3 linked regions of the Drosophila melanogaster genome follow. The protein of the gene in region 1 interacts with the protein of each later gene in a pairwise test. Each region holds a gene or a part of one and is shown in the gene's direction. Other genes may lie near its edges.

Region 1 (2,897 bases):
CATTAAGCTCACCCCCAGCTCAAAAACGCGAGATTTCCGCATTAGAAACGATTTTTTAATTATTATTTTCAGACGCCTACACGCAAAACCGAAACCCGATGGCTTCGAGTGGATGCTCTGCTCAAATGTCAGGCTTATTAATACAACAGCACCAACAGATCTCTTCAAGCTTCAAGTGCTGGGGATTTGTGGCCGGGGTACGAGATGCGAGATGTGAGATCCGAGATCGAGTTGAGGACGCTGTGCATCTTTATGTGGGAGTGCGGGCTCCATTGATGACACGTCATTTGCTGGCATAGACATCTTCGTCAAATGTGTTAAGTTGCGCTAAGAGGGAAAATGAAAACAGGTCTTCCAGTTCAACGGCAAGAGTGTCAGTAAAATGTCATGGAAAGCCACTTAGCTGGGAGTTTTTGATTTTCGATTTTTTTTCTGTACATTTTCTGAATCGGATTCGCAGCGTCCCCACATCCGCTTTTGGAGGAAAATAAATGCACGTGAAACAAGCAATCCGAAAAGGTAGCTAGCTATCAAACATTTGTCAATTTTCCTGCCCGGAGGTTGGTATTTGGTATTTGGTTTTTGGTGCGATTGGTTCTAGCTCGCGGGCAATGCTCAATTACGGTTTTGATTTAAATCAGTCTACTGACCCCAAAAGTTCAGCTACGGAAATTGCAAATTTAATAATTGACTGGCTCAGAAAACTGTAAAACCCAAACCAGGGGGCTTATTAATGCGATAACCTTGGCTGATTTAATTTCTGCCGTCTATTCGCCGGGCCTGTGATTATCCAGCGAACAAGAAAACCAAACCAAGCCAAAACAAAAACAAAAACAAAAAAAAAATACAAACAGCGACTTCCATAACAACAAAAGGAAAATCAAAACTTGCACAATTTCGACACTAAACGGCGATGTCTGGGCCACTCTTCGAGTGCCTCCGAGCTGCCAGTTAGTCGCATATTTAATTAAGAGATTGAGTGCCGCAAATAGTGTTGAACAATGGCCAGCACGAGTCGCATCCACACTGCGAGAAATCACTGCGACTAAAGAGAATCGGGAATTGTGCTGGCATAGTCTTAGCTATATATTGTCCATTAACAATTGACGAAATATTTTAAGTTAAAGAAGTCGGAATATTTTGCGAACAAGGCTTTAGTTGCCTCGGTTTCCTCTTCCGGTTCCGGTTTTTGATTCTTGAACCTCAGAAAGCAGTCCTCGTATATATCTCCCAGAAACTTGGCGCCCTTAGGAACTCTATCCTTAATATTAAATTTCTCTTTGTTCGGATTGAAGCATAACTCGTAGGCTGAAAAAGTGACTCGTTGGTTAAAGGGTTCTGGAATGCAAAACCTCAGAAGGTAGGGCTTTATCCGGTTTAAATCTTTCCGCTTGCCATCCATCACTCCAAATGCTTGTTTGCCCCCGTGGGTGAATACTATGTATCCGGTTATATGGTTTTTGTGGCAATATTGAAGAATTCGACGCGGAAATTGGTTCCTTGACATTATGTTGTACAACTTAAACTCGGTCCTAAGTTGAATATCCTCATTGAACATCCAATCGTAGGACCCTAATAATGTCATTTCTTGTTTAGTTTTGCTGAAAGATATGCAAATAACTTAGGGCTATAATTTTGGATTGTACTGAGTGTTAAGCTAAATTTACTGGCGTGTAGGTTTGTTTTTAAACTAAATTGATTAAACTGATGACTTACGCAAAGCATAATTATTAATTGACATTTTGTTTTAAAATACGTTTCCTGATAGTTTATAAAAATACTTTTTACGAAAATCTATATAAATATAAAAGTATAGCATTTTTAAAGATTCAGAATTTGTTTTAAATGCTTACCTTTGGATGGATCAGTGATGTTTACTCCACGCAAATTTTTCGATTATATATCATCAGCAGAGTAACTTAGGAAATCTGGATCATTTATTTTCAAAAGCCGTGAAAACTCACATACTCAAATTTCCATTCCCAAAAATGTCGCTGGAACTGGTACTCCAACCGCAGCCAGAGATCTACCTATTAGCGTATGAAATGAGTGTGCCCGAAGATTCCGATGAGGCCCTGCTTTCAGTTGTGGCCCACAAAGCCGCAGAACTTAAGGTGTGTGGCTACATCGCGCATACGCACTGTGGCCGCAAAGTGGGCGGCGAACTGGAGGGCAGCTCTGCTGGCCTGCAGATGATGGTCGAGTGGATGCAGGCTAGGAGCCAGGGGAATCATCTCGGGGACGGGGAGAAGATCAAAAGCCAGATGAAGGAGCCACGATTCTCGAAGTGGAAGCTGCAATCAGGGGCCCCCAAATACGATGTTTTCTTCTGTTGCTGAGTGCTGACGAGAGGAGTTGATTAAAAATCGCAAATTGCATTGGCCCCAGAATATTGTTTCGAGTGCATTTTCATCTCATAAACCATAACAATCAGTGTCGGCCGCTGCTGCTGCTGCTGCTGCTGCTGTTGCTGATGTTGCCGCTGCTGCAGTTGGGCCATTGAACAATAGCCCGGCTGACTCGAAGCTGACTTTTCAAAGTCAAAAACGCGATTGTATCATCAGTATTTTTCGGGGCGCGCTCCCTGCCTCTGCCTTTGCCTCTGCCCCTGATTTTTCGTTTTTTTTTTGTCTAACCATTTTCAGATTTTTCCGCTCGGCGCTGGCAGATAAAGTAGAGGAGCCCGAGTTGCGGCGAAAAACAATCGAATCAATTCATTTTTCTAGGGCGTACTGTGCCACTTGAACGTTGAACTGCAGACGCCCCAATGCTGACTACCGCTGAGGTTTCGCTTTTGGGCTTTCCATCTCCTCCGGAGTTGCCATTGTCTGCTATCAAGACGGCAGCACGGTCTTGATCGTGCCCCGGCACTAGTCATTTTAATTTTTCAAGATTTT
Region 2 (4,626 bases), on another chromosome or scaffold:
AGGGATTTAGCTGGTTGCTGTCGGAAAACAATGGCAACTCGAATTTCCAGACTAGTTTCCTTAATCCGTGAAATTTCTGAGCATCCTCACAGATTTCCCAACGCTTCCTGATCGTAAATTAAAAGCGAATAATAATCTGAGCTGCGCGCAGATCAGATAAGATCAGCTTAGTTTGTTCTGCTCACTTCGAGGCTCGTTTATTACACGTTCAATGTGGGTCAATGAAACAAGATCATGATTTTTCACAAAACCAACGGCTACATAGTCGCTACACACATTACACACGACACAGCACATACACACATATATATATTAAAAAAAAAAAACCGATTGCTGATAAATACACCGTACAATTTCAATGAGCATTTAATCAAGCCAAGAACTTGCCTTGGCATTTGATTGTCAAAAAACGAAAAAAAATAATACCAGAGTACAGACCAATCCATGCCGAAACCACAGGCCATTGAAGGCAATGCCCAAAGGAGGCGGTGGTGTGGTGGGGCTTACAGAAGAAGGGGCGGGGTCGTCGGTGCTAACACACTTATCTGTGTCACCTCGATTAGTCGTTAAATTCGTGTACAAAAAAAAAAAATCTGAAATGCACTGAGCGAAAAGCGGTTGTTAAAGTCGGTAAATTACGGTATAGAATATGTAAAATGGTATTCAATACTTTTGAGACTAGTTCTTATCACGGCATTCATAGTTGAAGATTTCTGTAATTTTATTATTCTCAGCATAAATTGTAGTTCTGAGTGCCTAAATCATTATGGTATTGAAGCGTGTAATGTGTAGTTCTTTGAGACCTTGTGGAACTTGCCACTGAAAAGGGCTTTACATTCCTCTCCGAAAAGTAAAAGGGCATCCAAACAAGTAGAACAGGGAAGAATCTCGAGATCGTGTGGAACTCGTTTTCCGATTCCGAACTCTAACTGTAAACGGGTACGAAGATCATGTAGCAAAAACAAAATAATAATAAGACAGATACCAGGAAGCTATTGAAGGATCAAAAAAAAAAAAAAGATGAAAAATGGAAAACAGAAACGAGTTCAACTTTTTCAAGGCGCCTTGGACAACGAAACCAGTTTGGGGAAAGGGAAAAAGAATGCACTTAAGGTCCCCCGCCCAATGCAACTTCTCCCCCGATTATCATAATCATTATCAATATGCAACAAAATGATCATTAAACCAATGCGATCTTCTTATTTTCTGCCTGCTCTTGTCGCTTGGACTTTGAACCGCGCCGGCTATTAAAGATGATGTGTGTATAAAAGTATAAAAGCAACATTTTTACATCGCTCAGTCGGATTCGGTTTTTCGCATCGAGCTGTAAAAACGAAATACAAAAACAAAACAAAAATCCAAAAAAGAAAAAAAAAAAAACCAAACGGCCATATGAATAAATAAATAAGCGAAGTGCCGAAACAAAACAAAACGAAACAACGAATTTTTCAACCTGTTTTCGAAGCGTTTCGAGTGCGTTTTACGAGCGTTTTCTAAGCGTTGCAAAATGCTTAAAAACGTTACGTTTGGGCGTTTTTCTGTCGATTTTCACGCGTCTCATGCATTATACTAAGTTGTATTTCTTTTTTTATTTAAATAGCTGGTAGATACAAACAATTAAAGCAACTGCAGAGCAAATTTACCAACAAACAAAGCAACAACACACAAAACAAATGTACAAAGTCAATCCAAAATTACAAATATTAATTTAAAACACAAAGAAACAATTAAATGTGCCAACAATATTTACCAAATCAACAAAAACAATACAAGTCAGAGGGAAGACAACAAAATCGATGCCTGTAAACATAATTATAAAATATACTAAAAGCACTTATCCCAAAAAGAGAACGAGAAACTCGAGGAGAGAGTAGAAAGAGTGGAAAGAACAATCACTAATCGAAAATAAATTAATTGCACCACAAATAGCCATAAGAGTTAATTAAAGTTATTTAAAGAGTCCAGTGAAAATCAATCAAAATGCGATTCACCTACAATCAGTATAAACATTATGAGTCCGGTTATCGGATTCCATCTAAAATGCATAATCTGAGCCATAATAACAACAATAATAGTAATAATAATAATAATGGGGGTGGCCACACCAACAACAACAACAATGGCAACAATAGTGGCCATCACTATGCCCATCACAATAATAGCAACAATGGCGGCAATAACAACACAAATTTCCAAGCCTATCAGCATCATTACAAAAGTAATTTCGGTAAGAATGTGTTACGAGATGTAGTATGAAATACAATAGAAAGTATCCTTAAGATATTTGCATAAGAAAAGTTCGTTCAAATCTTGTACTTACACTCTGAGTACTCATGAATGTTTGATTAGTGCCCAACATTCTGTTATTGTATCAATTTTATAGGTGCCCCATAAAGATATATACCCCTTCGTTTCTCGAAAATTATGAGTTTCTAATATCTTGCTACGGTTTTTCGATAGTTAGACCTCGCTGGAATGCCAGCTGACAACAAGAGTTAAACGTTTTTTATTCACCAATTTGTATTTGTATGTATGTACAAACATACATTCGAAATCCAGACATCGCCTTAATTGTACTATCCCAACATCAAATGCTAATGGGCTGGCTTATCGGCAAACACGCCACAGTTGTTTAGGCGAATCAAAAAAGAAAAACAAATCTCTTGTTGCGCCTCCGCTCTCTGATAACATGTCATAATCGATATGGATGGGTGTTCCAGGCCGATATTTCCTAGCCAGCCAGCCCAGCAAAAGATCCAAACATTCAAGCACAAAATGTCGAGGTCCCCAATCTCCGATTACGCGAGAGGCGCCAGTTGTCTCCGGTGATTCAATTCCATGCTCCTTCATATCGGTTTTACTTCTTGGTCGGTTGTCGGTTCTTGTTTAACGCTTTTCGCCAGTTGCCAAGTTTGGCCGAGCGATAAGATTACTGGCAAAACAGTAAAACTATAGCCAAGACGCAGGCATTTCAATCAAACGCCCGAACCACTTGACCAGTCCGCTAATTGGATTGTGGGGAGATGGTAACAAAAATGAGATCAGCATGGAGAAGAAGTGATTGTTGAGCGATCTAAACAAAATATGCATGGAAAAGTAATTGAATATTTCTATTAAAGATGTGGAACATTTTAAAGTACCTACAACCATCTACTTTCAATTGAACAAATTGGCCCGACTTCTTAGGTTTTCATTTCCGCTATGACATGGTTTTCGATCCACTTGACCGGTAGGGGCTCATCTTTCACCGTAGTGAAGGATGTACAATAGCGTACCGGGAGGGGGGGTGTTAGGGGGGTGGAGCACAGTGGGTCACAGTGGGCTGGGTTCAATACACTTAATTTATTGTTTTTATTGACAATCTGTTTTGGATTCACCTCTACGAAGCTGTTATTTCGTCCGGAGGAGTCTGCGTTTAATTATAGAAATTGCAAATTCCCGAGACAACCAACATCTGTGTTTAACTATTCAGGTTGATTCTTTACACCAACCTCGCCCTGATCTCCGCTGTGAATTGAATTAAAGTCACCTTATTCGTTTTGTCAGCCAATTGAGTGCAAAGCCTGAGTCTGCTTCTGGTGTATCATCCTAGATAGACGAAAGTGGCTTTAGGCTAGCTCCGATTGTCATATCGTTAACGTATCCATTTAACCGCAGTATCTTTAGTATCTATATCTGCATATGTATCTGTATCTGCATCTGTATCTGTATCTGTATCTGCATATATATCTGTATCTGCATCTGTATCTGCATCTGTATCTGTATCTGCTCTGTAATAAGACGACAGTTTAGCTGCTTGGAAACAATGGGCGCATATCGCCGCGTATCATCTACCACCACCCACCCCGCCACGGATCCCAACCCGTGTATCTGCCTTATCTGCAGCCGTGCCAGGTAAAGCCCATTTGGCGGGATCCGTTCTGCGGGTTCCCGCTTTTGTGTGCAGGTAGTTGGGCGCGTTCCGCAAGCCCAACAATAAATGTTTGCCTCTTTGTTTGATTGCCAGCCAAGGTTAGGCCAAAAGGGTGCGGATCGCGTGGGTGTTATTTATTTATTTATTTATTTTTTTTTGTACCTATGCCCTCTTGACAAGAGCCAAGAGTCGAACAGATTTTCTCACCTTCCTAATTTGTGTACCACCCATGTATGTCTACATAATTTCCATCTTTTTCCGAATTTGTTTTTTTTGGGAGCGCAACGCACGTCACCGAGGGATATTCGTAATTGAAGATCAAAGTTTGTTTGCTTTCGTTGCTGCTATCAAAGGCGCTATTGTTTGCTCGATTCTTATCTCATAAATTAGCTCGTAATTGTTTAACGATTTTACCGGAATTAAGGAACGGAACATAGTTTCATGGGAGATTTCTACAGAATTAAATGGATTTCGTTGGGAATTGGGCGTTCGAATTTGACAAAGTAATTTAATAGTTGTGAGCTTATTTTTATGGAAGGTTTCTTTTTAGAATTACGCCTTTTATTTGTCATCATTTACTGCATTTGACACTTTTTTATATTTGATTGTTTGCATTTATCTATGTTTTCCCATTGGAAGCGAAAGGAGCTATTTTATCTGTAAATGCATATTAAGCTTAGGCAGTTGAGCCAAAAATCCTTTTTTTCCTTTTT
Region 3 (4,505 bases), about 14 Mb from region 1:
TTTAAATACTTTAGTTTTTTTTATATCATCCTTGATATTTTCCCCTGTGCAGACAAGCCCATTTGGTCCAAGACTCCATTTGTTAGTCTAAAGTACGCCTACATAAACGGAACTGCGACTCTTATGTGCGAGGCACTGGCGGAACCTCCAGCGAATTTTACATGGTATCGCAAACACAACAAGCTGCACAGCAACAACAGACTGTACACGATCCAGTCGGACAGCTACTGGTCGAGTCTGACCATCCATGTGCTGAACACCAGCGCCTTCGATAACTACAGGTGTCGCGCCAGGAACGATCTGGGCACCATCGAGAGGACCACGCGACTGGAGCAGGGCGAGAAGCCTCCGTCACCGGCCAACTTCCAGCTGCGTGGCTTCAATTCAAACACCTTCGATGTGGTACTGAGTGCTCCACGAGGTCCTCCCGACAGTCCCATGGGGGTCAATGGATTCCGCATCGAGTACATGACCGAAATGGAGTTCAAGACGGATGCGGGCAAGTGGACCAATGCCAGGCGGAAGGATTATGCTTTCGAGGAGGGTGAGTTAAGCTTTAAAATATAGATAAAAGCTATCTCTTGCTACATTCGATATGTAAACTCATGGATTCTATAAATTTTAGGGGCTACCTTCCTTCTGACGAACTTAGAGCCAGATACCGTTTACCTGGTGCGGGCCGCATCACGGAATCTGGCCGGATTCAGTGACTTCACCAAGGTGGAGAAGTACAAGACACTTTCGCTGGAGCCCCGAGTCTCTTCGGGAGTCAAGGAGACCAGAAATATGTGCGTGGAACTGGGTGTGATGACACTAATGGTCCTGATGCGGCCGTTCCTGGGATGAATCTGAATCTGCAGGCGGATGAAGGATGACAGGTGATGCACCTAGCGGAACCGGAAACCAGGACCTTAAACCCCATGTGCTTTGTATAGCTATAAGGCGTGTCCACACGGCGACACTTTTCTGTCTGATTTGCTCGGTCTAAGTAATTTGGTTTACTCTTAAGTTCAGTGCGTTAATGTAACCTTAAAGAATGTTAAGTTTAGTAAGAATTTCTATTACGCTTTCAGTGCTTCGATTTGAATGATATTAGTGGATCACTTATAGGATATTTATATGTATTTAAACAAATCCTCATAGCAGTTAGACATAATCAATGGTTTGCTGGCCTTGGCTCCCCAAAATTATGCAAAACTAAAGCTTTGCTCAACATTCCAGTATATATTTTAACGTGAATTGGAAGTTTTCCCTGCAACTTTGCATCTCGTTGCCAAATCTTTAAGATATAATCAGACAGTTGCCAAAACTAAAAAAGTACATTAGTTTAGTATATACAAACAAATGCCTTCCGTCATTCGATATAACTAACAATCTTTTCAACTAAACTACATAAATATATAAAGTTTTGGAATACCATTAAACGCATCAAACAATTAATATAAATATCAAGGAGCTTAACGACAGCATTTAAAAGTTTTATATGTCACATAATTCTTTTTAATAGTCAAAGGCCAATAAAAACAATTCCACGTGTAAATTTCCAGGGCTAAAAAATACAGAATAAAATATAGATGTAAAAATAAGTTTAAACACTTTGCCACAATACAAATATTATGCAAACGAGAGAAAAACAAACACATATTTTACAAAAGTTATTTATATTCAATAAAATTAAATGTATTTCAGCTAAAGTGGTGTAAAATCTAAACCATAATACCTAGCCAAAGATTTAATATTTTCCAACTTTCGTTTGCCAATTGTGTGTGAGCCATAATAAAAGTTATGAATATCAAACCAGAACCGTTTGTGCTTCGATTTATTGATGTATAAATCAGTAAGTAAATAGAATATAAATATTTTAGTAAAAAAAATGCCTATTAGTTGGCGTAGCTTTTAGTGTTAATTTCTAATATTCGGCTCAAAAATTATATACAAAAAGTACAAAGCATAAAAATGTTGCAAGATGGAAAAACGAGCTCATTATTTTAGTCAGAACTCGAACCAGCCGCTAAATGCAGACTTTAATTTAGAAGATCAAATTATGAGGAATTCACAAAAAATATATAGGTTTAGCTCAGATCCGGGTGAGTAAAGCTTGCTAATAATGAATACATAAAATTAAAATTTTTATTTAGAATACAATAGAGTATATCAGCGGTATATGGCAACCCTCATCCGTGTGCAAAATTCCATGCATAGAAGATTTCAATCCAGGACCACTCTAAAATTGCAGGGCTCACATAGCCGCCTCTCAGCTGGCGGATTCTGTACGAAATTCAATAAATCCGGAAAGGAGAAAAAAAATAAACACAACCAAAGCCACGACCAGCAAAATGATACCTGTAAGCCTTCTTGCTCGAAGCCAACTGATTGCGCCACAAATGATGAACCTTCCTGCCGGGGCAATAAAAGTGCATCCGATAAAAGCCTGAAAATCACCCGCTGTTCCATACCGGAACCCAATAAGTCCCCACGCAGCGATGGACACGAGAACCAGCGTCAGAGCTGTGTGTCCTTTGAAGAGCCCGCGGCCAAGGATATTCCCACATTTGATCTGCACTTCCGGGACACCTCATGTACGGTGTCCCATGATTCCAGCCTGTCCTCCATCAACGTTTGCTATAGCCAAGAGCAACAGAGGGATATTACAAAATCTTGTCCCGCTCAAACGCCGAAAGAGCCAGCCCCTCAACGGATGAAGGAGTCGTCCAGGAATCAAACAGCTTCACGATTTTGCATGAGACCGTTGATTGTGGTGCCCACAGGTGGAGGAATTAAACAATTAAAGAAGGATCAATCTGAGAATTCCAAAATAGTTAGCACAGATCACTCCAAGTCGAAGTCTGCACACCACACGAATAGTTCTCGAAAATCCACAAAGAAGCAAGCAAAGAGTCACCGCCTTATTAAGTCTCACAGCTCTAAAGATTCTTTAGCAAATCGTGGTCAGCCTACAGTGGAAATTGAAGAAACTTTTCCAAATTCAATCTGCACTTCCGATACCCACGAATCCTGTGACTGCAAGAGCGAAGACCAATTTTGCTGTTACTATATACCAGAGGAGCCCCATTGCTCGCAGAATCCACCGCCATGTTCCAACTGCCCGGCTATATGCGACTTATCCAACCAATTGGAGGAGATGAATCGACGTTTGGAGGGCCTTCACAGCCAGGAACTCTGCGATATCCGCACGCAGGTGAATAGCCTCAATGCCAATGTTCAGCATTTGGCCAAAGAGTGCATTCAGAAAATGGATGGCGCCAAAAGGCTGGACAAGAAGACCTCGAGCACCTGTCAGTTCTGTCATGGGCAGTGTTTGAAAATACTTGATAGCTTCTATAGGCAACTGCTGGACTCACTTTGGGATCGTTCCCTGACAGACATAGTAATATCCATATTTCTGCGAGCAGACAATGTCTATCACGTAAATGTGCGGGATCTGAGCTCGGACTGTTCCCTTGGTTGTTACCTGGTCACTGATGCGGCCATAGAGGAGGCCATCGAGTTGGGAGTTTTTCAGAACATACTCACATTTAGTGTAATTGATGTGCGGAATACCATCAAGTCGAAGAACTGCGACTTGGGCATCGTCTTTGAATACCATCATTCAAAGCGGCAGACCGGTGGTTGCGATTCTCCACTTCGTGGCTCCTGCATGGTGGGCAAGGAATATATCGGCAGGGTTCTCGGACTTCCTTTGGAGCAGCTGAAATACCTGTACTCCGTTCCGCGATCCTATACCAAAATCACTGAGCACGACACTAGGAGTGTAACTGGAAGTCAGTTACACTCAGTTTCCACTCAAACGACTTTGATGGATATGCAGACAGAAATGAAGATAAGATATAAGAAAAGTGCCCGTACAAAACTACCATCAGTTTGAAAGATATCAGTTTTAATAATATATAGCAAAAGTTATAGTTAAGCCAACTTACAACGTATTTCTAAAATTTTGTAATAAAAGACCTTATAATTTTAAAAGCCAGCATAGATCAAAGGAAATTCTGATTAGTTTCAATAAAGCTAACCGTACAGGTTGCACTGCCATTTGCACAACCGACGGACCGCATGGCAAATGGTTCATTTGTTCAACGGGCGCGGTTTGTCAATCAGCCACATCAACTGGGGCTCAACTAAGGACCCGCATATGCGCTTTTGGCCGGAATGCCTTTTTGGGGGGGCTTTTTGGGGCAAGGAATAGGAGCACTGCGTTGACAGCCGCATAAATCAGTTGAATGCCAAACGTCGGATTCGGATGCAGATGCGGATGCTGTTGCGTATGCGGATATGCATTGCGACTGGGCGCCATATTGTGCGTGGTGACTTTTATTGCCCGACCGCGCGTTAAATATTTTTCTGTCTACACACATGGACATGGATGCTCCGCTCATCATTGACATTTACCATTGGCCATCGTCATTCGCATCACAATGAGCAGCAATGAGCGTGGCCGTTATTTGGGTGCGGTTCAAAACAATCAGCCCGGCTATTTAATTTCCAAA

Evidence for each region.
Region 2: the proteins of CG15167 (region 1) and NFAT interact in a two-hybrid assay, tested with the Drosophila melanogaster proteins (one large-scale study listed by BioGRID).
Region 3: the proteins of CG15167 (region 1) and CG15631 interact in a two-hybrid assay, tested with the Drosophila melanogaster proteins (one large-scale study listed by BioGRID).

What each region holds. Positions count from the first base shown.
Region 1 is NT_033779.5:18,738,422-18,741,318, forward strand, and holds CG15167 (uncharacterized protein), read left to right. Parts: upstream 1-1,936; 5' UTR 1,937-1,988; coding exon 1,989-2,339; 3' UTR 2,340-2,386; downstream 2,387-2,897. Other genes in the region: CG42752 (uncharacterized protein), read right to left, coding at 1,097-1,585.
Region 2 is NC_004354.4:13,643,578-13,648,203, forward strand, and holds the start of NFAT (NFAT nuclear factor), read left to right. Parts: upstream 1-1,601; 5' UTR 1,602-1,980; coding exon 1,981-2,227; intron 2,228-4,626.
Region 3 is NT_033779.5:4,731,888-4,736,392, reverse strand, and holds CG15631 (uncharacterized protein), read left to right. Parts: upstream 1-1,934; 5' UTR 1,935-1,966; coding exon 1,967-2,087; intron 2,088-2,138; coding exon 2,139-3,886; 3' UTR 3,887-3,980; downstream 3,981-4,505. Other genes in the region: fipi (factor of interpulse interval), read left to right, coding at 53-544, 626-846.